Mytilus edulis: one gene and its partners. The protein of the gene in region 2 purifies or fractionates together with the protein of the main gene of each other region. This does not show direct contact. Links are inferred from orthologs where the notes say so. Each region holds a gene or a part of one and is shown on either strand. Other genes may lie near its edges. The genes, in order: something about silencing protein 10-like, U3 small nucleolar ribonucleoprotein protein IMP3-like and U3 small nucleolar RNA-associated protein 25 homolog.

The links.
Region 1: the proteins of U3 small nucleolar ribonucleoprotein protein IMP3-like (region 2) and something about silencing protein 10-like purify together in Homo sapiens (affinity purification with mass spectrometry; 3 studies listed by BioGRID and IntAct, with this or other methods). This does not show direct contact. The link is inferred for Mytilus edulis from reciprocal best matches to the Homo sapiens genes IMP3 and UTP3.
Region 3: the proteins of U3 small nucleolar ribonucleoprotein protein IMP3-like (region 2) and U3 small nucleolar RNA-associated protein 25 homolog purify together in Homo sapiens (affinity purification with mass spectrometry; 3 studies listed by BioGRID and IntAct, with this or other methods). This does not show direct contact. The link is inferred for Mytilus edulis from reciprocal best matches to the Homo sapiens genes IMP3 and UTP25.

The regions. Positions count from the first base shown.
Region 1 is NC_092344.1:32,510,205-32,520,922, reverse strand, and holds the start of something about silencing protein 10-like, read left to right. Parts: upstream 1-5,292; 5' UTR 5,293-5,372; coding exon 5,373-5,383; exon of another isoform or gene 5,384-5,811; intron 5,812-10,718. UniProt on the Homo sapiens protein: Essential for gene silencing: has a role in the structure of silenced chromatin. Plays a role in the developing brain. Part of the small subunit (SSU) processome, first precursor of the small eukaryotic ribosomal subunit.
Region 2 is NC_092345.1:65,186,778-65,197,818, reverse strand, and holds the start of U3 small nucleolar ribonucleoprotein protein IMP3-like, read right to left. Parts: upstream 5,153-11,041; 5' UTR 5,086-5,152; coding exon 4,949-5,085; intron 1,714-4,948; coding exon 1,606-1,713; intron 1-1,605. Other genes in the region: neurogenic locus Notch protein-like, read left to right, coding at 9,450-9,513. UniProt on the Homo sapiens protein: Component of the 60-80S U3 small nucleolar ribonucleoprotein (U3 snoRNP). Required for the early cleavages during pre-18S ribosomal RNA processing. Part of the small subunit (SSU) processome, first precursor of the small eukaryotic ribosomal subunit.
Region 3 is NC_092346.1:5,174,340-5,186,163, reverse strand, and holds the start of U3 small nucleolar RNA-associated protein 25 homolog, read right to left. Parts: upstream 5,112-11,824; 5' UTR 5,073-5,111; coding exon 4,948-5,072; intron 1-4,947. Other genes in the region: uncharacterized protein, read left to right, coding at 9,770-9,777, 11,170-11,296. UniProt on the Homo sapiens protein: Component of the ribosomal small subunit processome for the biogenesis of ribosomes, functions in pre-ribosomal RNA (pre-rRNA) processing. Essential for embryonic development in part through the regulation of p53 pathway.

The DNA of each region.
Region 1 (10,718 bases), on a different chromosome or scaffold from region 2:
CTTGTACAAATTTAATGAATTATCAATCATAACTTATATATAACTGTTGTTCCCTGCTCACCACGGGTACTGAGTGGAAGAAGTCCTTCAAGATACATCTCCAGAATTTACATTGACTGTACCCGCTGTCTTTCGGACATCTACCACATGGTTATGCTCGTTCTGTGTTTTGACAATAGAATCCGTGGTGACTCTGGCTGTACACGATTTTATGGTACATTAGTAAAATGTGTTTCAGGACACTTATCTTCCGATATGTATGGCCCTCGATGATTAAAGAATTGACTCCTCGACCCGTTTCAGTGTGCAATATGTCTATCATGTTACTATGAAGTTTCAGAACAATATGAATCAAAATTAACATAAATGAACAGCATTTATAACCAGACTTTACCAATAGTATAGTACAGTATATAGTACATGTACAAGTATTATCTTACCTGTAAATCTAATTAGGAGCAAATATAAAATCGGCGCAAATGAAAAAATGAAATCAGCGCAAATGAAAGAATGAATATTTTCAAAATCGGCGCAAATGTCATACGCCCATTTTAAAGACAACATGGCTTCATGTCTTTCAAGTTTACTTTTATTATGAACACATAATGTGTTCATAATAAAAGTAAACGTAATAAGACGAATTCCATGAATGACGTACGTGTGTCTTATTACAATATGATGGATTATAAAAAAAAAACAAGGAGCTTAATAAGCATCTATTAAAATCCTTAGAAAAAACATAGTTGATTCTCTCTGAAAATTTCTCAATTTAAGATTTTATCCTTTGACGGATACATGATAAGCTTGGCTAGGGGCGATTCTAATCCTACAAATCTCATTTAAACACCATCATCGGTTGCATTTACATGCGCCTGTCCCATGCCAAGTCAGGAGTATTTTGGTCATTGGCGAAGCATTTAATTTTTATAAGCTTTGGAAGAGGAATACCAACGATACAAGAAGCGTTTTTAATAAGAATTTAGGAAATTATGCTGTGCTTTAAGGTTAAGGATTACCCTTTTGGGTTTTACAGTTATTGTTTTATTTGACATACAGAGCTGTAAGTAATAGTTCCTGCTCTTTTGAGAAGTAGTTTTTTGTGTTATATTTAGTAGGTAGGGGATTGTGACTGTCTTCGTGTCATATTGGGTCTTTTTTCATAAAACCAACACGTGCTATGTGATAGAAAAAAGATTAAACTATTAAATTGTATGCCAATGTCACATCTATTATATATTTAACCCTTACCAGAATACGGCGTGTTGGTGTATTTATTGACGCATTACTTAAAATTTCCAACATATGTTTTAACATGTTCCAACATGTTGAATGAAAAAAAATATCATTTACATTGTACCAATAACATTTAGCAATCGTAATTTAGACCAAACTGTAGGAAAATATTCCTTCTTTAAAATAATATATCATTTTCTCGCTTTGTTCTTTCTGCTTTCCAATATATATACAAAATAAATCGTTTTACACTCCCAAATTGAAAGACATGTTTTGACGGAATGTTGAAATTAAAAACTGAAATTTCGAAAAATCGTAGAAAATTCAGAAATGTTACCAGAAACTAGAAAAAAAGTGCTTAATGCTAGTATAAGGTTTCAGCTTCATAATGATATCAACTATTTTGGTTTGAACTTCGTATTTTTAAGAAAAAAAATCATAATACTGTATTTTTTGTTTTGCAATCCGGATGGAACTCAATCAAGGTTCAAGACCGAGGTCTATACTGATAAGAATTTGCATGATGAATATTACAAACATATGTTCTATGAGGCATTAAAATGATTCCTAAGTCCTTGCCGTTTCACGGAATAGTCGTTTATTCTTGATTTTGGGCTTCTCTCTCCTTTATATCTTCTCAAGCAAGATGACCCCGTGAATTTAAAAGATCGATCTATATGACAGGAAATGGACCTCCGTCATGATTCTTTATATAACGAGTCAGACATGGATTATAGCTCTACGGGTGCTCTGTGAATATCCCGATTGATCTCGAGCCGCCTTTCCATTCCTTTTTAATATACAATTCCTTGACCCCAATAAACAATTTTGAGATTAGGAGAATCTTTACTACAAGACTACCATACGTACTTCTTTTCATAGATTGCAAATATGAGTTGGTAGATCTAATGTAATTTGCCAATTTTATAGATAATGAAATTGAGAATGGATATGGGGAATGTGTCAAAGAAACAACAACCCGACCATAGAACAGAGTTCAACAGACTACAGTAGAAGGCCAACCATAGGTCTTCAATACAGCGAGAAATTCCCGCAACCGGAAGCGTCCTTCAGCTGGTCCCTAAACAAATCACGAAATATATATGCTAGTCAGTCAGTAATAATGAACGTCATACTAATGATGATCTCTCAAACTGTATCAGATGTGTCCTATTTTGTCACAGAAAAACCACGGTAACCCGTCAGCGTGGAGAACAAATGCTCATCCGTGCCTGAAAATTCTTCTAATATTTTTTTATTTTTTTTTTTTTTGAAAGAGGGGGTGCGACCGCACCCGACGCACCTCCCCTTCCGACGGCCTTGAATTCCATGATTATTCTGTACTGAAATGTTCTGTGCTGCGCACAACACTTTCTATTACAAAGAAAATAGTATATTTTCAATAGAATGTGCTGTGCCGCGCACAACACTATCTAACCAAAATACATTGTATGGAAAGTGTTATTAACCACTCAAAAGATCATAATACAAAATAAACATGGAATTTATAAAAAAAATTAAACACAAGAAATTATGCGAATTCCATAATTAAAAATAATTCCAAGTTTAAATAATAGCCTGTTCAATGGTAAATCAATGATATTTGGTATGCTGTTTTAGAAGTATTGGCATATCTCATTTCCACAGAAATCGGTTGGCTATGCACTTTCAGTAATGATTTATTGAAGTCAGATGTTTTGCATAGCTTACATGTAAAATTATTGCAATTTTAACTTCCAAACATTTCCATTATACAATTTATACATTATACGCAGTGAAGTTTCAGATTTTTGCTTCAGTGCTGATATTTCTGGGTTTAATTACACAAAAATCTTACTTGAATGAACTAGTATAACGAAATAAAAAAAAAAGCATCAAGAATTATATCTACTTGTGTTTCAGTAATTTATATGATTCTACATATGTATTATATAATTGACAGCTATTCTAATTGGGAGAGTAAATAAGTTTTTCACCATCATCGAACTTTTTTTAAAGGATTCCTATTTGGACATGTAATGTATTAAAGATATACTTGTACCTGTTTGATGACCCTGTGCAATGAGTTGGGGGGACATATAAATTCCGAGAATCTAACCTTCTACACACCTGCTCTTGTAAGCAATCTCACTTGAACAGTTCTTGCCACATTTGTAAGAAACTTTTATCACTTACTGGATTTGATTGATAAGCCTGATACTATGTTCTGAAATATACAGTAAATTCGGACATTATTGCATTCATTCATAATTGACCATAATTGCAATTAATCAAGAATGGACAAAAAGGCGAGTTAAATTATTGCGAATTTGAAGGTCTATGTTTCAATTATCAGAATGTGACTGTTTACTTTTGCAATACTCACTAGTCCCATTATTCACAATATTAGAAACCTCACGATAATTTCTGAGTTTTCAGTAACTTGGAACAGTGTAGTTTGCTTGTGTGGGATATAACTATCTTTATGTCCTTCTCTTTATATCATATGGATTTATATATATATGTAAATATTTATCTATTATATTTCATTGTCACTGTTCAGAAGATGAAACCAAAAAATCCAGATGTGAATCCTACATATATTACACAACATTGGAACAAGAACCAACAAAAAAGTTCAAAACTATGCATCATAATTATTTTTTTAGATAAAAATAAAAGCATTCCAAATGCAGTACTCACAATGTTAATCATTTAAAAATACTCTTTACATATAATTATAAAGGGTGAGTCAGTTTGGCTGGTAATTGAGGAATTAATTAATTTAATTCAGGAATATGTGGTATGAGTGCCAATGAGACAACTCTAGATCTCCATCCAAGTCACAATATATAAAAGTAAACCATTATAAGTCAAGGTGTTCTTCTTTAATTTCTTTATATTATATAAAATATTAATTCATTAATATCAGAAAATTTCAGAACATGCATAAGTGCATAGCAATCTTTATTGATTTGTAGAAGAATTACATTTTTTAGTCCTATTTTAATTTTAACATGCACGCCAAAACTGTCGGGACATATGATATTATGGTATACAAATGTTTAGCATCCGTCCAGGCCAAAATTAAAAATATGTTTGTTTCCCTTCCCCCCACACGGGTCAAAAAATTATTTTCCACAGAAAAATCAAAATTATTCTTTCCTGAAAATAATTTGTTTCCATTTTTGGAAAGTGCTTGAAAGCAGAAGGATTGATAATCTAAATAAATACACCTAAATTGAGCACAAACAACTGATAAGTGACCTGGACTGGACAAGTCAAACCATTCATGTGACCATGCTATGACAATCACATCCAGTTAAAAAAAAAAAAAAAAAAAAAAAAAACTGCCTTCCTGGTCTGTTTACAAAGGGTAGACCCTGGGGAGGGGAAACAGACATTCTTTTAAATGTGGCCCCATCTGTCTGTCTGGTGTCCACATGTTGCACCATAACTTGAAAACGACTTATTAAAATTTCATGAAATTTAGCATAGTTGTTTCTGGTGATGGTCAAACAATCTGTATGCATTTTGGTGGAAAAAAAGATTAAATCCTTTTGAGTTACGGGACTTTGTAATATAAATGCCAATCTGCATAGTAAACAAAAATATTTGTAATAAATATAATTGTCAAATGTATACCTATGGTTTATATACACTTTGGTAATAAAGATATATAACTGGTACCTAACATCTTCCTGATGAAGTTAAGTTTTCTTTTGAAATTATCAGCAGTCTGTTCAGGTAAACATCATATTAATCAATAATTAGTCAATCTGAAATATCTCTGAATAGGATATGCTATTGGTTAGGAATTATTCTAAAATGAGACTATCACACAAAATCAGGGGCAATCACTCTGTATTACATTTTATATGAATAAAAAAGTACTGAGTTCACGTATTGCTTTTTTTTTTTTTTTTAAGAAACCAACTTTGTCTTCAATTAATTTACGATTTTTAGATTCTTTTGATTCTTTTTAACCCTTTTCACATTATTATTTACATAGCTAAGCCTTCAAGGAACATTTCTTAATGAAATTTCACTTTTACACTGTTATTCGGTACTCTTTAGAACAGAGATTTAAAGGGTACCAACCGGAAGTATTTACGAAAGAAAACAAAACCACGTGTGCTCGTGAATAGAAAACATTGAAAATGCCAAAAAAGTGAGAACGATTATTTTCTTATTAATTTCTCCTCTGTTTTACAAGAGAAAGTGTGTGAGTCTTTGAACCACTGCATGTCAGTTAAACATACAACGCCGTTTTACAGCTCATCTTAAGTTCCATGTGGCACTCAGAAAAAGTGCCAACACCCCTTTCTGGTTCTTTTTTTATTTCAGAGTCTCGGAGATAGATTACTTGAAGGAAATTCAAAATTTCATTATTTAGTTAACTCAGCTTCCACATACACATTTTTTTTTATGAACTGCATATTTTTCTTCAAGTTCAACCCAGTTCAAAATAGCATGAATGAATGTTCCAGTGTCTGATACCTTTGGCTTTGTCTACTGGTCATACATGTAGCATAAGCCATATCATAGGCTCCCACAGACCCCTCATCTTGGAGTGCCATAATCAGATATTCCTGTCAGGTAATCTAAATGTATATTATACCACAGTTGCTTGAAATTTACTGATATACATATGATTTTTTTTTTAAATAAAAATTTACTATTATATAATTATTATATAAATAACAGTAATTTTTTTCATTTTTTTTCTCATATATATATATCACTAAAATTCAAGCGACTGTGATTATACTTTATAATGGTAGGCAGGCATAATTTACCTGTTGGAGATGAAGTCCACATATTTTAACTTTAAAATCTGTTAAAAAATAAACTGAAACACTGTTAGATTTCTGATTTTGGCCCTGTTGTTAGGGATTTTAGAAGCGATGTCATTCATTTCATTTCATTTAATTAATGACATCATTTTCAATGTAAACAAAGAAATGTCATCACGGTTAACGTTTTTTCGTATTAAAGAATATTTAAAAATGAAATTATTATTGTACTCCTTCGTATATTTTACTAGACTGATATTTTTCTCAAAGTTTCATGACAAACCAGACTGGAAGAAAAAAAGATTTCTGCCCAAATGTGGGAAAATAGAAAAGTCTGAAAATAAAAAGTTAACGATTTTGAGTTCATCAGTACATTTTGTAGATTGATTTTTCTTCTGTAATTGGGGAGAAGTCCCTATATTTAATATTGATAATAACATAATATATTAATAAATCAATTGAGAACAAACTTGTAAATTTATATGGGTTCCAGTTCGCAGTTTGCCAGATTTTTTAGGGACTACTAGACCATTAGGCTAGTCACCATTTTATTGCTACTAGACCATACAGTTTTCTCTAGACTGGAAATTTTCAAGAGAAATAAACTGTGTATAAATAGGATTAAAGGTTCATCAAAAGGAGTTGAAAACTATATCCATGGTTTTGTAGGATTGTATATTGCTTACTATGAAATTATGTTGAAGGAACACTTTTTCACAGTTAATTAAACCAAAAGTTCCAAATGGTGAAGTTGAAATCATCCCTTCGTAAATTTTACGGACGCCATCACGAATTGGTTGACCATTATGGAATAACCGTTTCACAAATGATATCGGATATGTTCCTTACGTCGTAACTACAATCCCCTTCCCTTTCATGAATGTGACCTACCGAATTAGACTATTTACCGGATTTGTTATCACATAAGCAACACGACGGGTGCCGCATGTGGAGCAGGATCTGCTTACCCTTCTGGAGCACCTGAGATCACCCCTAGTTTTTTGGTGGGGTTCGTGTTGTTTATTCTTTAGTTTTCTATGTTGTGTCGTGTGTGCTGTTGTTTGTTTGTCTTTTTCATTTTTAGCCATGGCGTTGTCAGTTTGTTTAAGATGTATGAGTTTGACTGTCCCTTTGGTATCTTTCGTCCCTCTTTTGTCACCGTACATAATGTTATCCGACATGAATTGTCGTCTGGACAATATCTACCGTTGAAATTGTGTCCATAGAGAAGAAAAGGTGTTTTCAAACTCAAAGAAAAAACAATATTTCACATGATATAAACATGTGTTTACTCTCATTACTTCCAAAATATATAAATATACATGTAGGTTCATTTCTTCAGAGATATGTATGTGATTTCTCTATCCTAATTGAAGTTTGGATGGAAATAAGCATGTTTTTTTGTCTCTATTTAAATTTGGCTTGTAAACAATTGTGAACTGGAGTATTGAATTCATACAAAATTTGCTCATCACCAAGTGCAATTAAACAGAAAAATATACAATAAAAACAATACTCTCACTACTGTTATTATTTTATCAATAGTTGTGATGTACAATTTCAATTTATTTTTTATACAACCGCAAAATTTGAAAAAAATTTCGTCGTATATTGCTATCACGTTGGCGTCGTCGTCGTCCGAATACTTTTAGTTTTCGCACTCTAACTTTAGTAAAAGTGAATGGAAATCTATGAAATTTTAACACAAGGTTTATGACCACAAAAGGAAGGTTGGTATTGATTTTGGGTGTTTTGGTCCCAACATTTTAGGAATTAGGGGCCAAAAAGGGCCCAAATAAGCATTTTCTTGGTTTTCGCACTATAACTTTAGTTTAAGTTAATAGAAATCTATGAAATTTTGACACAATGTTAATGACTACAAAAGGAAGGTTGGTATTGATTTTGGGAGTTTAGGTCCCAACAGTTTAGGAATTAGGGGCCAAAAAGGGACCCAAATAAGCATTTTTCTTGGTTTTCGCACCATAACGTTAGTATAAGTAAATAGAAATCTATGAAATTTAAACACAAGGTTTATGACCATAAAAGGAAGGTTGGTATTGATTTTGGGAGTTTTGGTCCCAACAGAATAAGGGGCCCAAAGGGTCCAAAATTAAACTTTGTTTGATTTCATCCAAATTGAATAATTGGGGTTCTTTGATATGCCGAATCTAACTGTCATGACTGTGTATATGTAGATTCTTAACTTTTGGTCCCGTTTTCAAATTGGTCTACATTAAGGTCCAAAGGGTCCAAAATTAAACTTAGTTTGATTTTGACAAAAAATGAATCAGTTAGGTTCTTTGATATGCTGAATCTAAAAATGTACTTAGATTCTTGATTATTGGCCCAGTTTTCAAGTTGGTCCAAATCGGGGTCCAAAATTAAACTTTGTTTGATTTCATCAAAAATTGAATAAATGGGGTTCTTTGATATACCAAATCTAACTGTGTATGTAGATTCTTCATTTTTGGTCCTGTTTTCAAATTGGTCTACACTAAAGTCCAAAGGGTCCAAAAACTTAGTCTGATTTTAACAAAAATTGAAATCTTGGGGTTCTTTGATATGCTGAATCCAAAAATGTACTTAGATTTTTTATTATGGGCCTAGTTTTCAAGTTGGTCCAAATCAGGATCTAAAATTATTATATTAAGTATTGTGCAATAGCAAGTCTTTTCAATTGCACAGTATTGCGCAATGGCAAGAAATATCTAATTGCACAATATTGTGAAATAGCAAATTTTTTTTTAATTAGAGTTATCTTTCTTTGTCCAGAATAGTAAGCAAGAAAATATCTAATTGCAAAATATTGTGCAATAGCAAGATTTTTTTTTAATTGGAGTTATCTTTCTTTGTCCAGAATCAACTTAAATCTTTGTTATATACAATATACAATGTATATTTACTTTTTACTACCAACAGATAAATTAGAATAATCTTTACCATTCAGTGATAACAAGCAGTTTTTTTACATCTTAATATTTTATGATGTATTTAAATGAGTAGTTATTGTTGCAAACTCCATTAGAAATTTTAATTGAGATTAGTTTTGGAATAAGGGAAAGGGGGATGTGATTAAAAAAATTGGGTTCAATTTTTCTCATTTGAAATTTCATAAATAAAAAAGAAAATTTCTTCAAACATTTTTTTGAGAGGATTAATATTCAACAGCATAGTGAATTGCTCTAAGAGAAAACAAAAATTTTAAGTTCATTAGAACACATTCATTCTGTGTCAGAAACCTATGCTGTGTCAACTATTTAATCACAATCCAAATTTAGAGCTGAATCCAGCTTGAATGTTGTGTCCATACTTGCCCCAACCGTTCAGGGTTCAACCTCTGCGGTCGTATAAAGCTACGCCCTGCGGAGCATCTGGTTAAAGTGTAGTTGGATGCTCCCCTCTTGATCAATAGTTTTTTTCTCATTGTCAGTTGAGGCCAGTGGATGTTTCTGTCAACATCTTTATAATTAAAATAATTAGAAATGCTTTGGAATTCAACACTTCATTTTTAGCTCACCTGGCCCGAAGGGCCAAGTGAGCTTTTCCCATCACTTTGCGTACGGCGTCCGGCGTCGTCTGTCGTCGTCGTTAACTTTTACAAAAATCTTCTCCTCTGAAACTACTGGGCAATATTAAACCAAACTTGGCCACAATCATCATTGGGGTATCTAGTTTAAAAAATGTGTCCGGTTACCCTGCCAACCAACCAAGATGGCCGCAATGGCTAAAAATAGAACATAGGGGTAAAATGCAGTTTTTGGCTTATAATTCAAAAACCAAAGCATTTAGAGCAAATCTGATATGGGGTAAAATTGTTTATCAGGTCAAATTCTATCTGCCCTGAAATTTTCAGACAAATCGGACAACCCGTTGTTGGGTTGCTGCCCCTGAATTAGTTATTTTATGGAAATTTTGCAGTTTTTGCTTATTATCTTGAATATTATTATAGATAGAGATAAACTGTAAACAGCAATAATGTTCAGCAAAGTAAGATTTACAAATAAGTCAACATGACCGAAATGGTCAATTGACCACTTTAGGAGTTATTGCCCTTTATAGTCAATTTTTAACCATTTTTCGTAAATCTTAGTAATCTTTTACAAAAATCTTCTCCTCTGAAACTACTGGGCCAAATTTATCCAAACTTGGCCACAATTATCTTTGGGGTATCTAGTTTAAAAAATGTGTCCGTTGACCCGGCCATCCAACCAAGATGGCCGCCATGGCTAAAAAAAGAACATAGGGGTAAAATGCAGTTTTTGGCTTATAACTAAAAAACAAAGCGTTTAGAGCAAATCTGACGTGGGTTAAATTGTTTATCAGGTCAAGATCTATCTGCCCCGAAATTTTCAGATGAATCGGACAACCCGTTGTTGGGTTGCTGCCCCTGAATTGGTAATTTTAAGGAAATTTTGTTGTTTTTGGTTATTGTCTTGAATATTATTATAGATAGAGATAAACTGTAAACAACAATAATGTTCAGCAAAGTAAGATTTACAAATAGGTCAACATGACCGAAATGGTCAATTGACCCCCTAAGGAGTTATTGTCCTTTATAGTCAATTTTCAACAATTTTTATAAAATTTGTAAATTTTTACTAACATTTTCCACTGAAACTACTGGGCCAAGTTCATTATAGATAGAGATAATTGTAAGCAGCAAGGATGTTCAGTAAAGTAAGATGTACAAACACATCACCATCACCAAAA
Region 2 (11,041 bases):
CACCATTTTTCTGTATGAATGAATTTTTTTTTCAATTACATTGGAGAACATGTAGAATTCTTAATATAATTGCATTAAAAAAAGCTTTTATTAACCATTCACATTAATCAATATTTCCTAATGAATACAATCACTTCTCCATTTTTTTTCTTGGTGCTGTAAAATGGTTATACATACATATATACTTTGATTTTCTTTCTATACCTACTGATGAATATATCACTACTTGAAAGTCTTCAAATGATTTAAAAAAAAAAGTATTTAAAAGACACAGGATAAAAAAAAACAAAGCTTTTTTTTTTTGAAGACCAGTATATACATGTACCATGTTTTAAAAAAAAGAATCATAATAATTTAGGTATTTTATGAAAACTTCAACAGATTAGTTTTGCTTTTGATTATGCTGTATGTAGTTTTGAAGGGGAACTGAATGAGAAGACAATGTCACATGAGAACAATAATAACGCACATATCAGTACTTCAAAACATATTTATAATAATGTTCAAAATATTTCAAGGAAACAGATCCAGGATTACATATTTATTTCTTTTGAGAACAAAAACTGAATAGAAAGAGATGTGTGGATAGACATATATATGGACAAAATTAATGTAATTTATGAATACTTAAATCCAATGGACATCCTATTGTTAATTTTACATTCCTGGTATTTCTTATGAAGGTGTAGTATTTTAGGGGCATTCACTGGTAAAGCTGTGTTCTTTGAATTTTGATGTGGGTAATATCACTGAATTATGAAACTCATTTTGTATTTGTTGAATAGGAAGTCAATTTTACAAATATTTATAATTATAATATATATAACAGTAGCAACCTAAATAATGTATTTTTTTCAATTTTAGAGCATGATTTACATATCTGACAAAAGCTGGTCACCAGAAATAAAATTAAAACTTCAAATCTGGATATCTGCAAAGTTTGGGGAAAATATACAAACTCTGACTGTAAATGCAAGGTGCACACAATGGCAGAATGATAGGGAAAAGTTACTTCTCTAATTAATACTGACTGGAACAAACAGTCAGATTAAAAAGAAAAGTGTATATTGCTCAAGACAAACAATGTTTGCTTTTGCATGTTGTTACAATATTGTTCTTTTGCCATTTGTATCTTTCTACTTATTTCATTCTTTTATGTTGAGAGCAAAAATCCAATTTGTCTTATTCTATAAAAATGTATTAACACATAATCTTCTAAGACTTACATTTAGCAAAAACATAAAAGTATTGATGAAAATTGGTGCGTTTACATTTCACTACTGATGATCTCATAAAAATAAACTTGACGAACCTTACCATTTTAGGTTCATAATGGCAGCAAATGTATTTTGTTTTTGCCTAATTCAAGTACATTGTATTTATATCAGCCAATACAAAGACCCTAAATTTGAAGGTGGTTCAGAGGCGGATTTAGAGGGTTTTTCAGGAGGCCTGGCCCCCTTTTTCTGGGAAAAAATTGGTTAATTATATAGGGATTCAATGAAGCATGACCGAAGCGGGCCCCTCTTAGGCAGTCAGTGGGCCCCCACTTATGAAAATTTCTGGATCCGCCACTTCTGATTACAGTACACTGAAGACACTTACAATTTTTCAAGGAGTTGAGCTGTGGCTTCTATTCTAAATGGATCTTTCTCGTCAACTTCTTTGATTTTTCTGGCAAGCTCTCTTATATGTCTGGACAACTTATTGTACCTAAAAATAAAAATCAATTGATGTCAATTTATGGATGACAACACAGGTTATGCATTCCTGCATCATTAACCAACACTGCCATAGATATTAATAATTGATAGAAAATATCAATAAAACGAAAAAAAAATGTACTACCAAATGGTCCCAAATTGTTAACTTTTTTTCTAACAATTGAGCTTGCACATTTACCTGTTCCCATTCTGTTGATGGATGCTGTCATGTTTTAAATAAAAAGATTTCCCCTCAATATATATAACTGATTACCAAAAAAGAAATAATTACAACTAAAATGATTTGGAATTTATTTTTTGTTTGAGTATGTCTTATTAAACATATCATTTTATAGCTAACTAGAGGCTCTAAAGAGCCTGTGTCGCTCACCTTGGTCTATGTGAATATTAAACAAAGGAAGCAGATTGAAAATTGACTACAAAGGTCAATAACTCCTACAGGGGTCAATTGACCATTTCGTTCATGTTGACTTATTTGTAGATCTTACTTTGCTGAACATTATTGCTGTTTACAGTTTACCTATATCTATAATAATATTCAATATAATAACCAAAAACAGCAAAATTTCCTTAAAATTACCAATTCAGGGGCCGCAACCCAAAAACAGGTTGTCCAATTCATCTGAAAATTTCAGGGCAGATAGATCTTGACCTGATTAACAATTTTACTTCATGTCAGATTTTCTCTAAATTATTTGGTTTTGAGTTATAAGCCAAAAACTGCATTTTACCCCTATGTTCTATTTTTAGCCGTGGCGGCCATCTTGGTTTGATGGCCAGGTCACCGGACACAATTTTTAAACTAGATACCCCAATGATGATTGTGGCCAAGTTTCAAATAATTTGGCCCAGCAGTTTCAGGGGAGAAGATTTTTCTAAAAGATTACTAAGATTTACGAAAAATGGTTAAAAATTGACTATAAAGGGCAATAACTCCTAAAGTGGTCAACTGATCATTTTGGTCATGTTGACTTTTTTGTAGATCTTACTTTGCTGAACATTATTGCTTTTTACAGTTTATCTCTATCTAAAATAATATTCAAGATAATAACCAAAAACAACAAAATTTCCTTAAAATTACCAATTCAGGGGCAGCAACCTAACAACGGAATGTCAGATTCATCTGAAAATTTCAGGGAAGATAGATCTTAACCTGATTAACAATATTACCCCATGTCAGATTTGCCCTAAATGCTTTGGTTTTTGAGTTATAAGCCAAAAACTGCATTTTACCCCTATGTTCTATTTATAGCCATGGCGGCCATGTTGGTTAGTTGGCGGGGTCACCGGACATAATTTTTAAACTAGATACCCCAATGATGATTGTGGCCAAGTTTGGTTAAATTTGGCCTAGTAGTTTCAGAGGAGAAGATTTTTGTAAAAGTTAACGCCGGACGCAGGACGACGACGGACGACGACGACGACGGACGACGACGGACGCCGGACGCCAAGTGATGAGAAAAGCTCACTTGGCCCTTCGGGCCAGGTGAGCTAACAAAATGAGTTTTCTGGGGATGCTCACCTTGGATAATTTAGTCATATATATTTATCTGAACAAAGATCAGTAATAAGCTGACTTTGTATATTTGTTGTTATAGGTATTAACTATTATGTTTTTTATTGAATTAAAGTATACTTTCAAACAAACAAAATATAACTGCTAACTGGAGTTTTTCTTTATTTACATCAAAAATCATGTCATATATATAAATTCATAACAAGGACAATCATCAGATAAGTTTTGTTGATTCATTTACTTCTTCACCAGCAAACATTCTAAGCCTTGTTCCCAATAAATGTGTATATTCTTCACCACCAATCATTCTAAGCCTTGTTCCCAATAAATGTGTATATTCTTCACCAGCAATCATTCTAAGTCTTGTTCCCAATAAATGTGTATATTCTTCCTTTTCTTTTACAAGAAACAATGAGAAAATCAAATGCATGTGGCAATGATCATGCATCATTTCAGTACAAAATATAGACTACTTTCATGACTTTCAAATTTGTTCTGATGTTACAGTGCAAATTCTATTTTTCCAAATGTGACACAATTCAGCCTGAAGAAAAATCCGTCATCTGACGGAGTCAAACCTGACTAACTGATAAGACAACATGGACTGTCTATGAAGACGACTTGGCCAGTCAATAAATCAGCTTGGACAATCTTTAATGAGTCAATGACAACTAAGACAGAGTTTTATAAGAGGATTTGAGCTATATAAATGATTATAAATAATCAATTGTTATATTTTACATATCAATATCATATGCATGTTGCTTAATTTTCCAACATGATAAACAAGAATGTGTCCATAGTACTGTACATGGATGTCCCACTTGCACAATCATTTTATGTTCAAACATCAGAAAAATAGAAATCAAGGGAGCATCTTTCAATTCGCAATTTCAGAATCTTAAGGACAATGGTTTATATCATTGTTCGTACACCAAAATGAAATAACATTACGTCATTGGTTGAATTTCCATTGTTTAGAACGTTTTTGACCAATTACAATGTTTTGGTTAACGCTTTTGAAAATATGACCCAGAATGCATTAGATTCTGAAACGGCAAATTGTCTATATAGAAAAATCTTCTTAGAAGGTCTGAGCTGCCTTTTTTGTTATTTATATACTCAAAATCAGAGTTAAAACTTTATTAGAGACTTTCATCTGGCAGACACAATCTTTTTCATTAAATCATATATTTCTTCAAAACTCTGATTTTATAAGTAGTCTGAGTTGTTATTGTAGAGGGTCCTTATCTTCTTTTCGTAGAGAATTGAGTTGTCTATAGGCATATAGTTGAATTGCACCTATTTTGTACAGTAGTCAGACCACAGGAGCACCTATCATTAGATGAAATCAAAAAATCTATGTCTACTATGACATGCGTTATGCTATTAACACAATGTATAATGCATACCAGTCGACTGGCACATTTTCTGACCTACAACATCTATGATACGCACCCTGTAGTTAGTCCAAATAATTATGACGTCTTGAAAGGCTATTATAATTTTTTTCTTTGACGCCTTACTTCGACGTCATGACGTCTTGAAAGGCTATTATAATTTTTTTCTTTGATGCTTTACTTCAATGTCGAAGTAAGCCGTCAAAGAAAAATTATAATAGCCTTTCAAGACGTCATAATTATTTGGACTTCTCTGTGGTCAGACTGTAAGTTGTAACCAGTGCCAGTGTAGGAAATTTTTAACTCACTTTGTGTAATCTTCACGTTTTTGAATGTGGTACTTTCTCATCACTTTAACCTCGTGTAAATTATTGTCGACTTCCCAGGAAATGAAATCGACTTTCTTAAGAAGCTTCTTCTCATGGTATTTTAGTTTTCTGACCATATTTACTGTTTCTAAGATTTGAGAGCATGCAAAATGTAAACCGGAAGTTAGCAAGTACAGTTTAAGATATTTCTGACTCGGAACAGATATGTTATATTTCCGCAAATATACCAAAGGGTACATGCATTTGCTGGTGAACTATTAGACTAGTCCCTGGGGTACCACCAGCCCAGTAGCCAGACATGAAAATACAGATTTGTTTGTTATTAAAAATTTTGCTGTTACAAAATGTTAAAAATTATTTTAAATTAAGGAATGTTTCTACCTCGTGTAAAGCTCTGATTCCTTTTCCGGCTTTTGCTATACTTTTTGTACCTTTTTGGATTAAAGCTCTTCGTCGTTTTAATAAGTTTTTGATTTTCAAATATTTTAGCCTCGAGTATCACTGAAGGGACATTTCAGTATCGTCGAAATGCGCATCGATCTGGTGCAGTAAGGCCCGTGACTGCCAGGCTGGGAAACTGGCTTGGTAGGCAAATGCTCCCATTAAATCTGTACCGATACAGTGTTTTAAGGTGTTATGGATTTCTTTCGCCATCTTGGATTGTGAAAAACAGAGAATCTAAGGTCCAGATTTTCAATCAAATTATCAAAATTTGATGCAGGAATCATGCAGTAACAAATGTGAATTTGCATTTAAAAGAACAAATTTATAAGATTATAACTTATAAATATCAATAATTTTACAAGTGTTTATTATTTTTGCTTAATTTCTAATGTTATTTAAATTGGCATCTGTTGGGGAGGTAAGGGGACGACCATTCGGTTCAACTAGAAAGCAAGCTAACAAAAGATATTACCTTTGCCTACACACCCAATGGAATCGGCTGTATAGATATTGAAATTTTAGTTTTAGAATTGTTTGATGACCTTTGCTCGCCTTTTGGAGATACCAAACAAGTGTTATTTCAACAGGAACTAACTGTGTCCATTTTATTGCTGATTTATCATAACATTACTGTTATGAATTAAAAATAATATGACAATAGATATAAGAAGATAGGAGTGGCCAATGAGACAACTCGGGATCTCCATCCAAGTCACAATTTGTAAAAGTAAACCATTATAAGTCAAAGTACGATCTTCAACACAGAGCCTCGGCTCACACCGTACAGCAAGTTATAAAGGGCCCAAAGCTTGAAATGAGTCATCTAGAATCAAACTGATATTTCTTATGGTTATTATTTCATGAGAAGCGGGTCGTTTTTCCTTTCCTATAGATATAATTTTTTTTTCTTAATTGGTGTTGATATACTGCGTTTCTACCAAAGTGAAAAGAAGCGGAATATTTCAAAAGGACATCCACAATTCGTTGGAAATAGATGTAATATAGAAACTGCAATGTTACTTTTTTATAATTATAATTTTGAATATATTACAAAATATACAAACTTTTGGCGTAGAAAAAAAACATCGTTCAAGTTTTGTATCTATACCCCCCCCCCCCTTTTTACCAGCATAATTATGTCTGAGTGATTAAAAATCGTTCAGTTGGAACATTGCAACCTTTTCTCCTTTTGCTTTCAAGTTTGAGTTTTTTCTAATGCATAAAAAAAATCACCCCATCCATTTGTCCTGTCACTGAAAGGCGTGGTATAGTGTCCTTATGATAAAAATGAGAAGGTGTGATATGATTGCGGACGAGAGAACTACTAGCATCAAGTAAAAACCCAAAGGCTCTAAGGAGACTGTGTCGCTCATCTTGATCGTTGTGCCTTATAAACAAGGGCCTCTCTCCAACATTAAAGACTAGACTATGATTCAGGACTAAGATGTCTTATCTGTTGATTTTGTTTTACTGAAAATATTTTGTCTGTTTTCATTTCTCTCTACAAATATGTAGATGGGGTCATTTTCTTTCTATCTGATAAAATTGTGAATATCAGTAGAAAACGAGTAAAACGGCATGTACCTTATATGTTACATACATTAAGGTATAGGATTTATTCTGAGACAAGTGCCTGTGCAAATTGTATTTATATTATTATTCTAGTTTCTTGTCTAGATGATAACGTTGTTGTTTGCAGCAATGTTACGTACAAGGTATGTCCGAGACACGATGTAGTTACGATATCGATATCAACTCAATCACTATTTCACGGTGTATAATCGGAACGCTAAATATACATCGTGTATTTACCTATATCATCTACTTCGTCAGGCTCCCTGGTTCATCTGTATGTGTGAACATCGACGATATCGTAACGATATCGATGTTCAGGTTACCACTATTAATCTACATGCATAACATGTAAAAGTTGTTCTGGTTCATCTTTAGGTGTCGATATCAACGATATCGACGATATAGACTCGATATCGACATTCCAATTTCAATCTGCATTTGTTGCTCTGAATCGTGTACATTGTATGCTTCTTAAAATAGTGTCGAAAACGACGATATCGACGATAAAGAATAGATATCGGTATTTGAATTTCCCCTCGTAATGTGAAGCATTAATTCTGAACTAGCTTTAAATACATTTCAAACAAGTGTCCATTTATTCCTTTGATTATGTTGGCTATGTCGTCCATATCTACGATATCGATTTTATGTTATTTTCATCTTAAACTACAGCCGATATCGTCGATATCGACATTTAAATTTTCCCTTGTTATGTGTTGTTTCAATTCACAACTTTGTACAAATTTCAAACAAGTGTCAATTTCAACTAATACAAATTATATGTACACGTGATAATATTTGTTATTAGATCCTTAAGTTTTCTATAAACTTTATCACGACCCATTGTAACATCCGACATATCATTGAGTCATCATTCTTTATAAAAACACAAAATCGATATCGATTCGATATTGTATCGACAATATCGACATATGGGCATGTCTGAGTGTGTCATGGATGTTCAGTGAAAAAAAACGTAGCTATTTATGTGAATTGAGTTTCTCGTCCTACATTTAACTTTTGATGTCGTCCCTAAGTTATAACGGGCGACGACGGACACCAAGATTGATAAGAATAAGAATAAGAATTGTATAAGTCTAAAATGCAAACAATAGGATTGTTACTAAAATACAAAACAAAAACAAACAAACAGACAGACAGGCATATTAATTACAAAACGATAGACCTTAAACACTACAAACATGTAGCATTGAAAGAAAAAAAATATTGATTATTAATATTAATTATAATACTATTTTTGACATCATGCCTCCTCTTTGAAATTATCAATTCAAATATTATGCTTATATATAACATCATAAGTTGAGCCATCAATTACACAGTTCATATATTGACATTATGATTATTTCTCTCATTATACATTTCACTTATATAGTTAACAATGATAAGTAAAATATCACATTCTTCGCAGGAAAATATAAAATCAAATATGTTTTCTTCACTCATTGAATTAAAACTGGGGACAATACTAGAAATTTCATTAAACATTTTGATCCTAGTTTTTTAATTTCTGAACATGTTGTGATAAAATGGAATTCATCTTCCACCTCTTTATGGCATTTTTTGTATCTACCGCGTTCAACAGCCAGCATACTGTTACTTATTCTTATTTTAGCATAATTTTTTGTAATATTTTTATCTAAATTCAATAAAAGGTACTAGTTTATACCTTACTTTAAATTTTCTGTAGGTTCTTAGTTTATTTCCATTTATTGAATTATCATCATTAAAGAGACAAAATAAGATGTAATTTTCATTGAGCTTTTTCACGACTGCTAAAAGTAATCGTTTTTTTTTTAAAAGGTACATTGATTTTCCCAAACATGAGTGAAATTCAATTTTTGATAGTAGCATTTTAACGATATTAAGCGCACTGAAACTTTTTCAAAAGTTTCATCTTTATTTATTATTTCCTACGGGCATACATTCCACCAGTCAAGCACACACGAGTCGTGTGCCAGTTACCTATACGCTAATCCAAGCGTGACTAGCGGTGTCTCCGTCTGACTCCCGCGAACTAACGTTACACTTCAAAGTCAACAAAAAGTGATTTAAGTTGTGATGCGGTGTGCGGAATAAAATAGGGCAGTCAAAAGAACGGTTAAAGTATTTTATCAATGCAAACCACAAACAATAAAAAGACAGTTTAGAAAGCGATTTAACTAATATCTTCTCATAAATAATTATATTGCACATATATGAGATAATCAAATATTTGTGAAGTCCGTACCTTGATAATTACGCGTAGTGACATAATCTGCAAGGTGCTTGTTTGTAAATCAACACGAGTTGTAAAAGTTTTGTGTATTCGACGATGGAGTTTAAAATATCATGTTAAAAGTTTGGAAAAGTATATTTGCAGTGCTATTTTTGAATTTGGAGTAATGTTTGGATATTTAATGTGAATATTCCATAAGGGATTTATTATGATTTTGGAGTTATGTTGGTTTTTGCACGGTTTTTGACGGCTGTGTTGATTGCACATCAAATTATCCTCATTGAAGGTAATGTCCTAGTGATAAAAATACCCATGCATCGAAATACATTGATGATGAATACTTCAAACAATTGTATGCTTGTCTTTTTATATTTTAAAGAATTCATGAAGTTCTGAAAGATTAAATGTTGTATTAATTGCTACTAATCATGGTTTAATTTGTTATACATGATATATGAGAAAAAATAACTGTTGAAATTAAAGATATCATGTTTTGAAACATAGGCAATACACATTTCGTTGCGCGTGCCTTCTTTGTTTTCATGCAAGATGATGTCATAGGACAAATGTATTGATGCACTTATGATTATATTATAAACAAGTTTTGTTTGTTTAAAATATTATCGAATGAGATTTCAATTTCTTGATGAGGTTATAAAATACTATAGCATATTAAAAACATTTAATAGTTAAAATAAACAGTTCAAACCTTTAAAGTATTTTTTGATTTCAGTTTTAGTAGAGGTTTAAAATTACATTAAGTTAACAGTATTCTTTTTTTTCAAAAGGTTTGAGCTATTTGAACAGGAAAAGACCAAACACCCAATGGGTCACATTTGGGATATAAATTTACAAAAAGCATAATGTAGAATAAACACTGACAAATTTCCTGACTTGTGAGTTCCTGACTTGTGAGAGGTACATGAATATATGACGGTGTTAATGTTTTTTTAATATACATTGTATCTCAAACCCCCATATCCCCATTTTTTCTCCATCAATGGAACAACAAAAAGTAGTACTGAATAACACCAAATATTCATGTACATTGTAGGAAAAACATTAAACTCTAGAATAATGTGGAATAGAAAACAAAAAACAACACAAAAACAATAGACCAGATAATTATACTGTATCAAAGATCAGTCAGTGGTACTGATACTGCTAATTTGAAATTGATGAATCCAGGGTAAACTTCAATATCAATCATTGTATCAGTTGCTGTACTTCATAGTAGATTTTGTACAGCAATGTCATTAAAAGTACAGGATCTTGAAGACACAATCTGTACAATTCTAGCAACATATGCATTTAAATGCAGAATACAAGAAAAAAATATGTTTTGCTTCATATTATTAATGACTACATGTATTTGATGTTTTTCCCAAAAATATCATGCAGTGATTATACCAGTACTACAATATACCCACTGAAGAATTAATACAATGAAAAAAATCTCCTTGTTTCTGGTTTGAATTTTGAAAAAAACAACAGTCATCATTAAAAAATTCACCTGAAAGATAAAAAGTACCTGGTATACATCTTTTTGGTACTTGTGTTAGAATTTTGTTTCACAACATTTTGTACAATGTAATTTAAAATATACAATGTACCAGCACACATTTTTAAAAACCCAGATATGTCATTTATGTTTAAAGTTATGAAAAATTTCCCCCAAAAATATAAAATTCTTGACAAAAATATAATATTTTGTTTTGTAAAGTTAATTTCTTTCCATGAGGTTACAGCACATGTTTATCATCTTAAATACTTTCAGTGTACTGAAGTACTTAAATATAAATATAATCGGGTGT
Region 3 (11,824 bases), on a different chromosome or scaffold from region 2:
TAGAAGCCTCTGGTGTTACCTGAAAAATACAATTAATTATTATTATATACACCAAACGAAAAGACCAAACTACAAAGAACTTGTTGATTACGTAACTTTAATTAATCAGGATTTGATTGAATTAAGTGATTACGAGTGGCATTACCTTAGTTCACAATCATCAGACAATTGTTGAATAAACAAACCAATTCTAGACTAATGATTTGGTTAAACAATTACCAGCAAGATTTTATTTACAGAGTTGTGCATATGCATAATGCTCTTCTTACTAAAGATAATAAAAAAAGACGAAATCATAGTAATGTTTTTCCGATATGCTTTTTCTGTAACTCGGAAAATGAAACCCTAAATCATTTACTGCTACATTGTAAAAAATTAAGACTATTCCGAAAATATACAAATGACTTCATTAGAATAGAAATCAATAATGAAACTTTTGTTTTAAATGAATTAAACTGTTTGTTATTTAATATACCACAGGAACTATTCCCATCAATGTATGCATATGTTTATTCAATTTATCAAATTAGTTATGTTATCAATTCAGGTGGTTTAATTCATACTCTTAATACCATAATGATGACATAATTTTGTTGTCATCCATCATTGACACTTTTTGCAAATTCCGTTTATACTGTTCAAATTTGTCACAAATTCCTCCATATAGTGAATATAGTTTATTCATATTTTATTATGGGGCCGGATCGACTTGGGGACGGATCGACGTGGGCCGGATCGACTTGGGCCGGATCGACTTTGGGCCGGATCGGTTTGGGGCCGGAACGACCGGATACCGATAAAATAAATCCCACATAAATTTTGTTAAACATAATTGGAAATTAAGTTTATACATATAAATAAATGTTTATATTATAATTATTAATATTACATTAATTATTATCAGATGCCGATTTCACTTTGAATAAGTGTCGATTTGACTTTTTCTTTAGCCTAGGTGCCGATTTAACTTGTACCCATAGCGTACTAAATTTCAAGTTGATAGACTTCAACTTCATTGAAAACTACCTTGATCAAAAACTTCTCTCTTCGAGAGAAGCTCTACTGTGATAGTCAACTTTGGTATATTTTTACCCCCTTATTGATAAGATTTCAAACTCCTGTGGAATGACGCACGGACGAACGAACATACGCATAGACCAGAGAGAAAAAACGACAAAAAAAATAAATAAAAACGAAAATATCTAAAGACAAAAAAAAAAATGTAAAAATTAATAATATATACTGGGTTAACCCCATTCCGGTGGTCAAAATGTTAATCATTATTCCAAACGCATTTTTCGAACTAAACGGAACAAATATGATTGAAATAAATAAAATTCAGTTATTTAGCTCTTCGATGATGCATAATATGTTACCCATTTGTCAAGTTTTATCAGTTTAATAAATGATTGAAAATCGGTGATCACCACCCATCATTGTTTTTGCTATTAACCTCTTTCCGGTGCAAAGGTAAAATATAGTATGGAGGACAACTTGGAACACTAATGCACCTTATTTTGTGCATCAAATAACGCTAATATTCTAGTAAAGAAGTACAGATCAGCAAAACACGATTTTATTTAGGACAAATACACAAATTATTTTTGACAAGATGAAAAATGTTGAAAAGTCCAATATATGCAAGATTTTTTTTCTAAATTTAAAAAAAAAAAAAAAATTTCTCATTCAAATTTTTGTTTTACTTTCACTCTTTTGTGGAAATTATTTTAATAATTCTATTTTGATGTCAATAGTGGGAAAAAAATATTTCACAAAGTTTCACTTTTTGAAAATCTACTTTAACTGAATAAATAGAAAAATTACATTAATATTAAACAGTTCTAAATCTATTGTTTGTTGTTTTTTTTTTAATCAGAATAACAGTTTTTGGAATAGTGTTCTGTATATTGGACAGTTTACTGTTCTTTACAGTGTGGACAAAAGAAAGTATCCCCTCTCCGCAAGACTCTAACATCACTACAGAATTGGAGATGTGTCCAGTGACGGCAGTTATCATTGTCACATTGTGCCCATTTGACAAACACAATTCCTGCTAGTTGTCTGATCTCTGAGGGAGATTTCTTATTACAAACACAGCAAGTTTCACCGTCGTCATCATCGGTTTCATCACTGTCACTAAATGAATTCTCAAGACATATTGGTCCTCCTTTATCCTTGTTTAAACCAGATGTACCAAGACCTGCATTAACATCATCCTCTGATAATTTAATTTTTTTTTCAATTTTTTCCATCACAGTTGAACTTTTTCTTTTTACAGGTGCCCTCTTTTTGGTATCTTTTCCTGCTTTGTTTTGATTTCTAGTTTCCTTTTCAACTGTCTTAGGCTCTGCTTTTTTATAGGGTGGTTTAAAAGTTCCTTTCTTTTTTGACTGATTCAGATGATCCATGTTTTTCTTTTTTCCTAAATTTCCTGTGATTGTGAAGTGTTTCCTTTTCTTTTCTGTCTTTTCAACTGAAACAACATTTCTTTTTAGCAGGAATCCGGATGGAGAACTGTTTACTGTACATGTGGTTATATTCGAAGAGATGTTTAATGTGTTCAATTCAATTATTGGTTCTGCGGTATATATTTGAATGTCATCAGAGTACCTGCTTTCAGGAGGAACTAGAGTAAGCAAAGGTTGACTATTTGATTCATCTTGATCTGATGAGATATCTTGTTCCTTTTGGGCTGATGATGAAGCTTCGAATTGTTGTATCGTCAGAGTGGCAGCTTTGTTAAATTGCTGAGAGGAAGTGTTGTCATCTTCTTGTGAAATTTGTGTATTATTCATTGTACTTGCTTCATCTGATGTAGCTGTGGGGTAAATTGTAGCTGGAGCAAGTTCGCTGGTGTCAACAGCTTTTGGGTTAAAAGGATATATCCCACTTTTCCTAAAAGATGATATCAAGTTCTGTGCAGATAGACCTTTCTGGTAGGGAGAACAAGACATTTGTCCTATGTTATACCTTGTAATTTTACATCCTGGATTTTTTCTCATAAACAACTGTGCCTCCCGGTTGTCACAAGCCTTTAATGGTCCAAAACACCCTATATCTAATGGCTGTAAAATGTGGCTACAGTGTGGTGGAAGTATGAAAAGAATGATGTTCTTTGATTCAGCCCAATCTTGCAAAGTTAAGCTCACATGTGAGCGGTGGCCATCAAACAATATAAGAAGAGGAGTGCCAGAGACATCATGTGATACATACTTGAGAAAATGCTTTTCCAGGTACATTTTGAATATTTCACTGTTAGACCATCCAGATTTACTGCATTGGCCATCAGAACCAGGTGGAGTCCCATCAAGAAGTAGAGCCCTGTCAAATTTAACACCCGGAAATACATAATAAGGTGGAACAGCATTTCCAATTGCATTGCCAGCACTAATTATAGTGACATTTGCAGATCTTGGCGATGTGACAGACTGGGGCTTAACAACAATGTCATGAACAATTTTACCTGGGCTATGTTCAGTTTGTAGAGCACTCTCATCCATATTAAATATTTTGTGTGGCTGTTCATGCAGATTGTTTTTGGTCATAATAGTGCCCAACTCTTTGTAATAGTTAGATAGTGTCTCCTTTGATGCACATCTAGCTCTCTGCATGGATAATTTCTGTGGTTTACTAATAGTTAGATTTGGCCATCTTTTCATAAAAGAGTAATACCATTTGTTGCTCAATATATCCTCTTGAGGTTTTCTCTTGCCCATAAACACAGCTAAATCAGTTGCTAGATAAATGACATCTATTCTTGAATAACCATAACCAATGCTGGCCATATGTGCAATGTGGTCCACCATTTTTTTCTCTGTAGACTCATCAAAAAGGTAATTGGAGCATCTCCCATCCACAGAAACCAAACCAAGTGTCCTATCTCTAAGCGTGCTTTCTGGAATACCATAGTTTTTTGCAGCTTTGTAAACAGACATTCCATTTTGTACAGCATCATAGGCAAATTTCAAAGCATTTGGATCATACTGCTTTTTCTTCATTGTAAAAATATCTGTAATAAAAATGAATAGTCATAAACATTTACAAAAGATCAGTAAAATCTTAAATTCAGTTTGAAAAAAATATTTTCATCCCCCCCTTATTTATACCTTCAATTAATTATAAAGCACATTTCTTTTAATAATTATTGTGCAAGCATTTTGTCCTTTAATCACAGTAATATGTTCTTCATATTCATATTTATTAATTTTTATTAAATTCAATCAACATAAATAGTTTCATAAACATAAAAACGAGATTAATAACTTTTTTCTAAAATAAACTGTAAAAGTGTTCATTTTTGTTAATCAGGCTTTCCATAGATTTTTCAGAGTCATATCGAGGCTGTATCATCACGTGACTGTTGTTTGGGACGCCTTGCAAATGGCAGACGAGAAATCAATAACAATAAATCGATTTGGGATGATTATTCAATATTTTTAGATGGCTTGAAATTTTATGGCATATGCATGAATTTGGGAATTATGGAAATCATACTATCATGCGCTAATATATATATATTTACCTGTAATGAAGACTGTTTGACGTATTTACATTTCTTGATGACAGCGATGCACCAGTTGTCTGTAACCTGTAACCCCTGACCCTTGCACGCGCTTTTAGTTCAACAAAAACCCGCAATTTAACATTACACCGGAATCAGGGATACACCGGAATGAGGAGAAGGCAGTAATAATAATGAAATATATACAAAAATATGGAATACATCTATGTTAAACTATTTTATAAATACATAAATTTGAAAAATTTTACCAGGCAAGCGCCGGAAAGTAAACATCAGTATGTTGATGGTTTTCTGTAACTAAAGAAGAAGAACATTATGCCCCTGTACTATCGTAAAAAAGGGGGGGGGGGGATAAAAATTAATTAAATTTTATATTTATTTATTCATTCATTTATTCTTCCCAATTCTAACAAATAATTCCATACTGTTCAGGTTTTCCTGTTGGGAGCTGGTTAGTGTTATTGGCGAATTTGCCCTTTTTAACGCCATTTGAGCCACTCTGTTTTGATTTTCGTTTTCTTTTTCCGAAACCATGCTTTTTTGGAGCCATCTTGTACTTTGACCCGAACTGGTTATGATAGACGGCTCATGATTGGTTGGATGTAAACAAATATATCTTGTTAAAGAAAACATATGAATAAAGCACAGATTTTATTTTGAAATATAATTAATTCACAAAGCTTTATTTTCTGGTTCATTTCAAATCTTAATGTGTAATTAAATAAATTAGACATATTTTTTACTAGTTAAGAAAAGAAACATTTAAATTTTGGCAGAACATCTTTTATCTTATTTATACTATAAAAATGGTTTGTATGTTATTTCCCTCCTTAATTATATAAGTTACATGTATTTAAACATTATAATCCCCCAACATTAATTAAGGTGGTATACTCTCTACTGGTATATCATGTATAAGTGGTATAATTTTAAAATAATAGAAATTGTTCATTCTTCGCCAAAACGTAGTTTATATCGATATATGTTTTAAAATATAATAAAAATGAAAGGTCACCGCACGCTTAGTCTGTTACGGAATAGAAGTTCCTTCATAATATAAGATAAGCTCAAAAAGCTGCTTTAAATAGGAATAAATATTAAAGTAATTGTTCCAAATGGAATAAATGGTATATAATAGTTATTCCAACAGGATTAGATATTATGACAATGTTTAAAACAAAGTTTCAATTGGAACTTCTGTTAGGTGGAACAAATGAACGTTGACAGTCCCAATGAAATAAATGGCGGAAACGGCCCTTTTATAAAGATCGTTTATCAGTCTATTTTTTTGTTGCCGCTTTATTGATCTCTATTCCTCACAGCTATGTATCAGTGGCGGTTCAAGAACTGTTTATAATGGGGGTCTCAATTTACTTAAGGTTCTTGTACTGTTTGAATTTTTGTGAAAATATCCGGTGGTAGTAGGTTCTGGACAGTCTTTAGTCGTATTTGGTATGAAACTATGCATGTTCTTTGTTGTCCTTGTTAAACCCGCCACATAATTTAGGTATGTGCCTGCCCCAAGTCTGTAGCCTGCAATTCAGTGGTTGTCGTTTGTTTATGTGTTACATATTTGTTTTTCGTTCATTTTTTTATTTAAATGAGGCCGTTATTTTTCTATCTTGAATTGTTTTACATTTGTTTTATGTCATTTCGGGGCCTTTTATAGCTGACTATGTGGTATGGGCTCTGTTGAAGTCAGTACGGTAACCTATAGTTGTTAATGTCTGTGTCATTTTGGTCTCTTGTGGACAATTGTCTCATTTGCAATCATACCACATCTTCTTTTTTATACTTGATTTTTTTTCTCAGTTGGTCAGATGGTAAGTTTGCTTGCGCATGTATACTTTTACAGAACAGAATTAGTCTGTTTTGTCTTCTGCGGTATTTTAATGGTGGTAATTGTAGTTGGTCTAAAATTGAAGTCATACTTCCTGGTTCGTAGTTGTAGTTAGATGTAATGAACTTAGTCGCTCTTTTCTGCATGTACATTTTCCAGTTGGTCTTGAAGATGTATTTGATGTGGGTCCCTGGCAGTGCTTGCATATTCTAGGACAAGTCGTATCAGTCCTTTATATGCCTGGAGTTTAACTTCCAGTGGGCATGCTGATAAGTTTCTTTTTAATAAACCTAATGTCCTATAAGATTTGTTGCATATCTCATCTCTGTGCTTTCCCAAATGTAGGTTATTTGTGATGTTAACTCCTTGATATTTAAAAGCTGTTAAAACTTCGAGTACCGTATCTTTTATATTATAACGTGTATTTAAATGGTGTTATTTTCATCTTTCGACTTAATGTCATCTTGTTGAATTTAACTAGTTGGAATCTTATACCCCAATGTGTCGCCCATGCAGTCACCAAGGGTATTTATATTTTTCTGAAGTTCTTTACTACAGTCATTTGTTATTTCTTTATAGCATACACAGTCATCTGTGAACAGTCTTATTTCTGATGTTACATCTTCTGCTATGTCGATCATTGATCTGTACTAGAAATAGGATTGGACCAAGAACTGTCCTTTGAACTTGTGGTACCCCTGATAGGACTGTCGATGTTTTGGACCTTATCCCATTCACTACCACGCACTGAGATCTTGTAGATAGGAAGGCATTAACCCAAAATGAAATCCTTCAATCAAATGCTTCAACAGAAAGGAAAACAAGAATGTGTCCAAAGTACACGGATGCCCCACTCGCACTATCCTTTTCCATGTTCCATGGACCGTAAAAATTGGGTAATAATCTAATTTGGTATTAAAATTAGAAAGATTATACTATAGGGAACATATGTACTAAGTTTCAAGTTGATTGGACTTCAATTTTATCAAAAACTACCTTGACCAAAAACTTTAACCTAAAAATCCCACTATCATTTTCTATGTTTAGTGGACCGTGAAATTGGGGTCAAAAGTCTAATTTGGCTTCAAAATTAAAAAGATTATATCATGAGCAACAAGTCTACTAAGTTTCAAGTTGATTGGACTTCAGCTTCATCAAAAACTACCTTGACCAAAAACTTTAACCTGAACGGACGCACAGACGGACGAACGGACGCACAAATGGACGAACGGAGCCACAGACCAGAAAACATAATGCCCCTCTACTATCGTAGGTGGGGCATAAAAACAACAGTATGATCTATTCTTATATGGACGATTAAAGAAAATTCAGCAGAATAAACATAATGAACACTGTTTGAAAAGGTCATCAATTTAAAGTAACTTTCTAAAATATGTTAGATTTATTTAGATGCGTTTATTTATCGTTCGTTCGTTCGTTTTTAATGAATTTTACACAAAATACTTTACTGTATCCAAATAATTTGTGTGTACCCTACTTTGGTAATTGGTAACAACAATGTATGTCGCATGTAAATATCATCATTAGTATATTAGTATCTATTTCAAATTATCTCCCTCGTACTAGCCATTTAAAATCAGTTATTTAAACGTGGAGTGTATTAAACAGTGGCGGATCCAGAAATTTATATAAGTGGGGGCCCACTGACTGACCTAAGAGGGGGCCCGTTCCTGTCACGCATCAATGATTCCCTATATAAGGCTAGCAACCAAATGTCCCCCCCCCCCTAAATCCGCCTCTGTTAAATAAACTCATATTACATCTCCATCACAATTCTTTTTCATGATTCTTCCTACATCTTGGATTTTGAAGAAGCAGATAAATTTGGTCTAGATATTCGATGAAATGTGCAAATATTGAGCGTTGTATGTATTTTTTTTTAAAATGTAAACGACTTTTGAAATCAATATAGAAAATTGTGTAATTGGTAACAACAATGTATGCCGCATAAATTTTATCATAACTACAGCTGTAATTTCCCCAAAACACCTTGTTAGTGTTTGATTAGATTTTTTCATTTTTGCCAAATAAGGGGAGATAACTCAGATAAAGTAATTGGCCGTTTCAGAATCTAAAGCATCATGGGTAATTTCATTGTTCGTACCCCAAAGTAAAAATAACGTCACGTCATTGGTTAAATTTCCATTGTTTATAACGTTTTAAACCAATCAAAACGCTTTGGTGTACGCTTTTGAAAATATTACCCAGGATACATTAGATTCTGAAACGGCGAAAATAAAAAAGTGTTATGAATTTACCTATTTTTATATGTAGCAAAAAAACAAGTTCGATGACCCCCATTTTTTCTTTTTCTTTTCTGAAAGCATGTTATAAGAGCAATCTTCTCAAATTTTATCTTTAAGTTCTAAAAGAACGTTTTCTTTTTATCACACAAACTTTGATTTCCATGCAAAATCTGTCAATTTTGCCAATTTTGCACAACTGTAGCGTGAAAAAAAGTCCGGTGACCCATAGTTTTTAATATATTTTTGAAAAAAGCATGATAAAAACTTCATTTTGACAAGTCATCAAAAAATTCTATGTATTTTGATAAGACCTTTTAAAATACTTTAATACATTGATCTAGCTAATTAACATACAATTAATTAAACAAAATCTGTCCTTTATCCAATACCAAGCTATTCCTGCCGCCGCCATTACTGCAAAAAACACATGCGACGAGATCAAGCCGAAAACGAACGCCTTTGATAAACAGGAGGACCGTCCGAAGTTACCGAAGCAAGAAGCATCGTTAAGCTTTCGATATTACCGTAATGTATATTGTATTGTGTCGATATCAGTTGTAGTAGCCTTGCCGCCTCTCTCATTTATGCCCGGCGTCCATTTTTATTCGTCTCGGCCAATGAGTCATACATGAACTTTCATTATTTTTGTTTTACACTATTGGACAGTTTATTTATCTCGTTATGATTGCACGAAATATGTTTCACTGTTGTAATAAAGAAATATTCGACAAATTGCAGAAGCAGTTATCGCTTTGTTCTAAATGCTTTGGGCAACACTGGGACCTGTTCAGACAAAGAAACACGATCCGATATTATTTTGCCTAAATCTCCCGTTTTCGATCACACCTTCAGTGGTATCACATTTGTTATGAATAAAAACCGATTTAATGATTTCCTGGCTCTTCCTGTCGTCCAGCACATGTGCGAAGCGATAATGAAAATTTTTCCAGCAGTTTTGCCCATAAATTCGTTTCTTGATTTGTCGAAAGTTTTCATTTGGTGACTGGCTGTCATATGGGACCACCATTTATGCGTTTTATATCTTCTGAGCATGATGTAGCCCAGTGTTACACCATTATGAGTGCCAACAGTTATTTAAATTTAATTAGATGATGAATTTGCTGCACCAACATAGTACAGATGCAATGGTAATTCATTTCTTTTGATTTTGGTCTATTTTAGGTCCTACAAACCATCTGGATGAATGATGCTACATTTGTATTTCTATCTGTCAAGAAATCTTCAAAAATTTGAACTTTTGAACACTTTTATGTCAGACTTGTGCTAAACATTGAATGTATGTCATGTTATGCATGCTGTCATTCTGATTTATGATATATTATTGGAAGCTTTAACTGTGTACCAGTTTTAGCTATACCAAGAAATAATAAAAATGTATAACAAGTCACAATTGTCTTTAAAATTTCATCATTCTAAACAATTACAAAAGACTTTTTTGACAGATGAATTATATACTTGATCCTGTAGGCTAATCAGCTTCATTATATTAGCTTATATTTCCTGGAAAATGCAAAAGGCTTGTTTAATTTGTAAAACTGTCTAGATAGAACTTCAAATTTTTGTTTTCAATAACTAATTTTTAATAATCAGAGTACTGCAAAACATTTGGCAGAGATATAAATGACTTGGGATTTATTAACATTTTTAGATTTTACTGAAAATTCTATTTTAATGCAATTTATTGGATTTAGAATAAAAATTGCTTTTCCGAAATTGTTCGAAGATTGTTAAGATTTACAAATTCTTGATTGCACATCATGCACAAGGCTAAATTTGTTTTACAGTTATTAATCATTTTAACAACAACGAAAAAAACATTTCAAATGCAGCAATTTTTAATTTTTAAGACTTGACAGTTTTGATGGACAAAATGAATCCTAAGAACTTTAGAAACTTTAATTTAGAATTTGAAGTTCTAGATGCAGTCCATTTAACAATAAAGTTTGTGTCATTATCCTTAATTCCTTCATTTTATTCACAGGAACACATCTGTAAGAGTAAGTAAATGTATAATGATGAGTGTTGTGACAGACACATATTGATATATGTGTAAATTGTTTTTAATGATTTACATTCTTACGGGTAGAACTTGTAATATGAAGACCTTGTTTCAGGATTTAAAGAAAAATGCAATGTATCCTGTTCTGACAAAATTTTACAAATCTTGCACATGAAAAAAGGTTTACTTCTGGTCTTAAATTCAAAATTAAAAAGTGTGTATTAATTTTTGTAAATCCAACCCTGATTAAATACACAAAATTGTAATATTTGAGAGCTTTTGATAAAAGTGAAAATTCAAAACAAAAGTTCTTTCAATTAGCTACTACATTGTATATACATGAATTAGTCAGATCACATGTAAGTAAAATCAAGAAGTATATATACTAATACATGTAATAACAAAGCAGTTATTTAAAAATTGCAGTTCTAAAATATTTTGGTAAATGTTCACAACGGTGGACAATGGTTTCAAATACTTAAACATGCCAAATACTCATGGTCCAATTCTATTTTTTTAGCTGGAAAATGGTGAAGATATTTGTGGGAAACCTGAGCCAGTCTACGGCGAGGGAAGATATACAGATGATGTTTGAAAAGTATGGAAAAGTTACTGAATGTGATGTATTGAAAAACTATGGATTTGTGGTAAGTTTGTTGTCGGACTCATCCCTACTGAATGTGATGTATTGAAAAACTATGGATTTGTGGTAAGTTCGTTGTCAGACTCTTCCCTTTTATATACATGTATATCTACCGTTTTATCAACAATTTCTACGTTTCTCCTTCAACATACTGCATCATTTTTTCAAGACTTAAAAAACCAAAAATTTACAAGGAGTTCAATTGTACCTGTATAAGTGCACCATTGTCAAAAGATCACAACAAAACAGCAAAATTTCCTTTAAAATTACAAATTCAGCAGTGATCTGGAAGGATGCACGCCCTGTGCCTATAGCACATATCAACCAAAAATGGTGCATAGAGAGACAAATGTAAAAGCCCACAGACTCATCCGTTAAACAAACTTGTCATGGAAGCAGTGTAAATTAAGTTGAGGAATTTTTGCTACAGAACATTTATGAGATTCATATATTTTTTATGCTGAATACCAAATAATTCTAATAAAAACAAACAAAAATTCCAAGGTTTGATCATCTGTTCATTAACATTTAA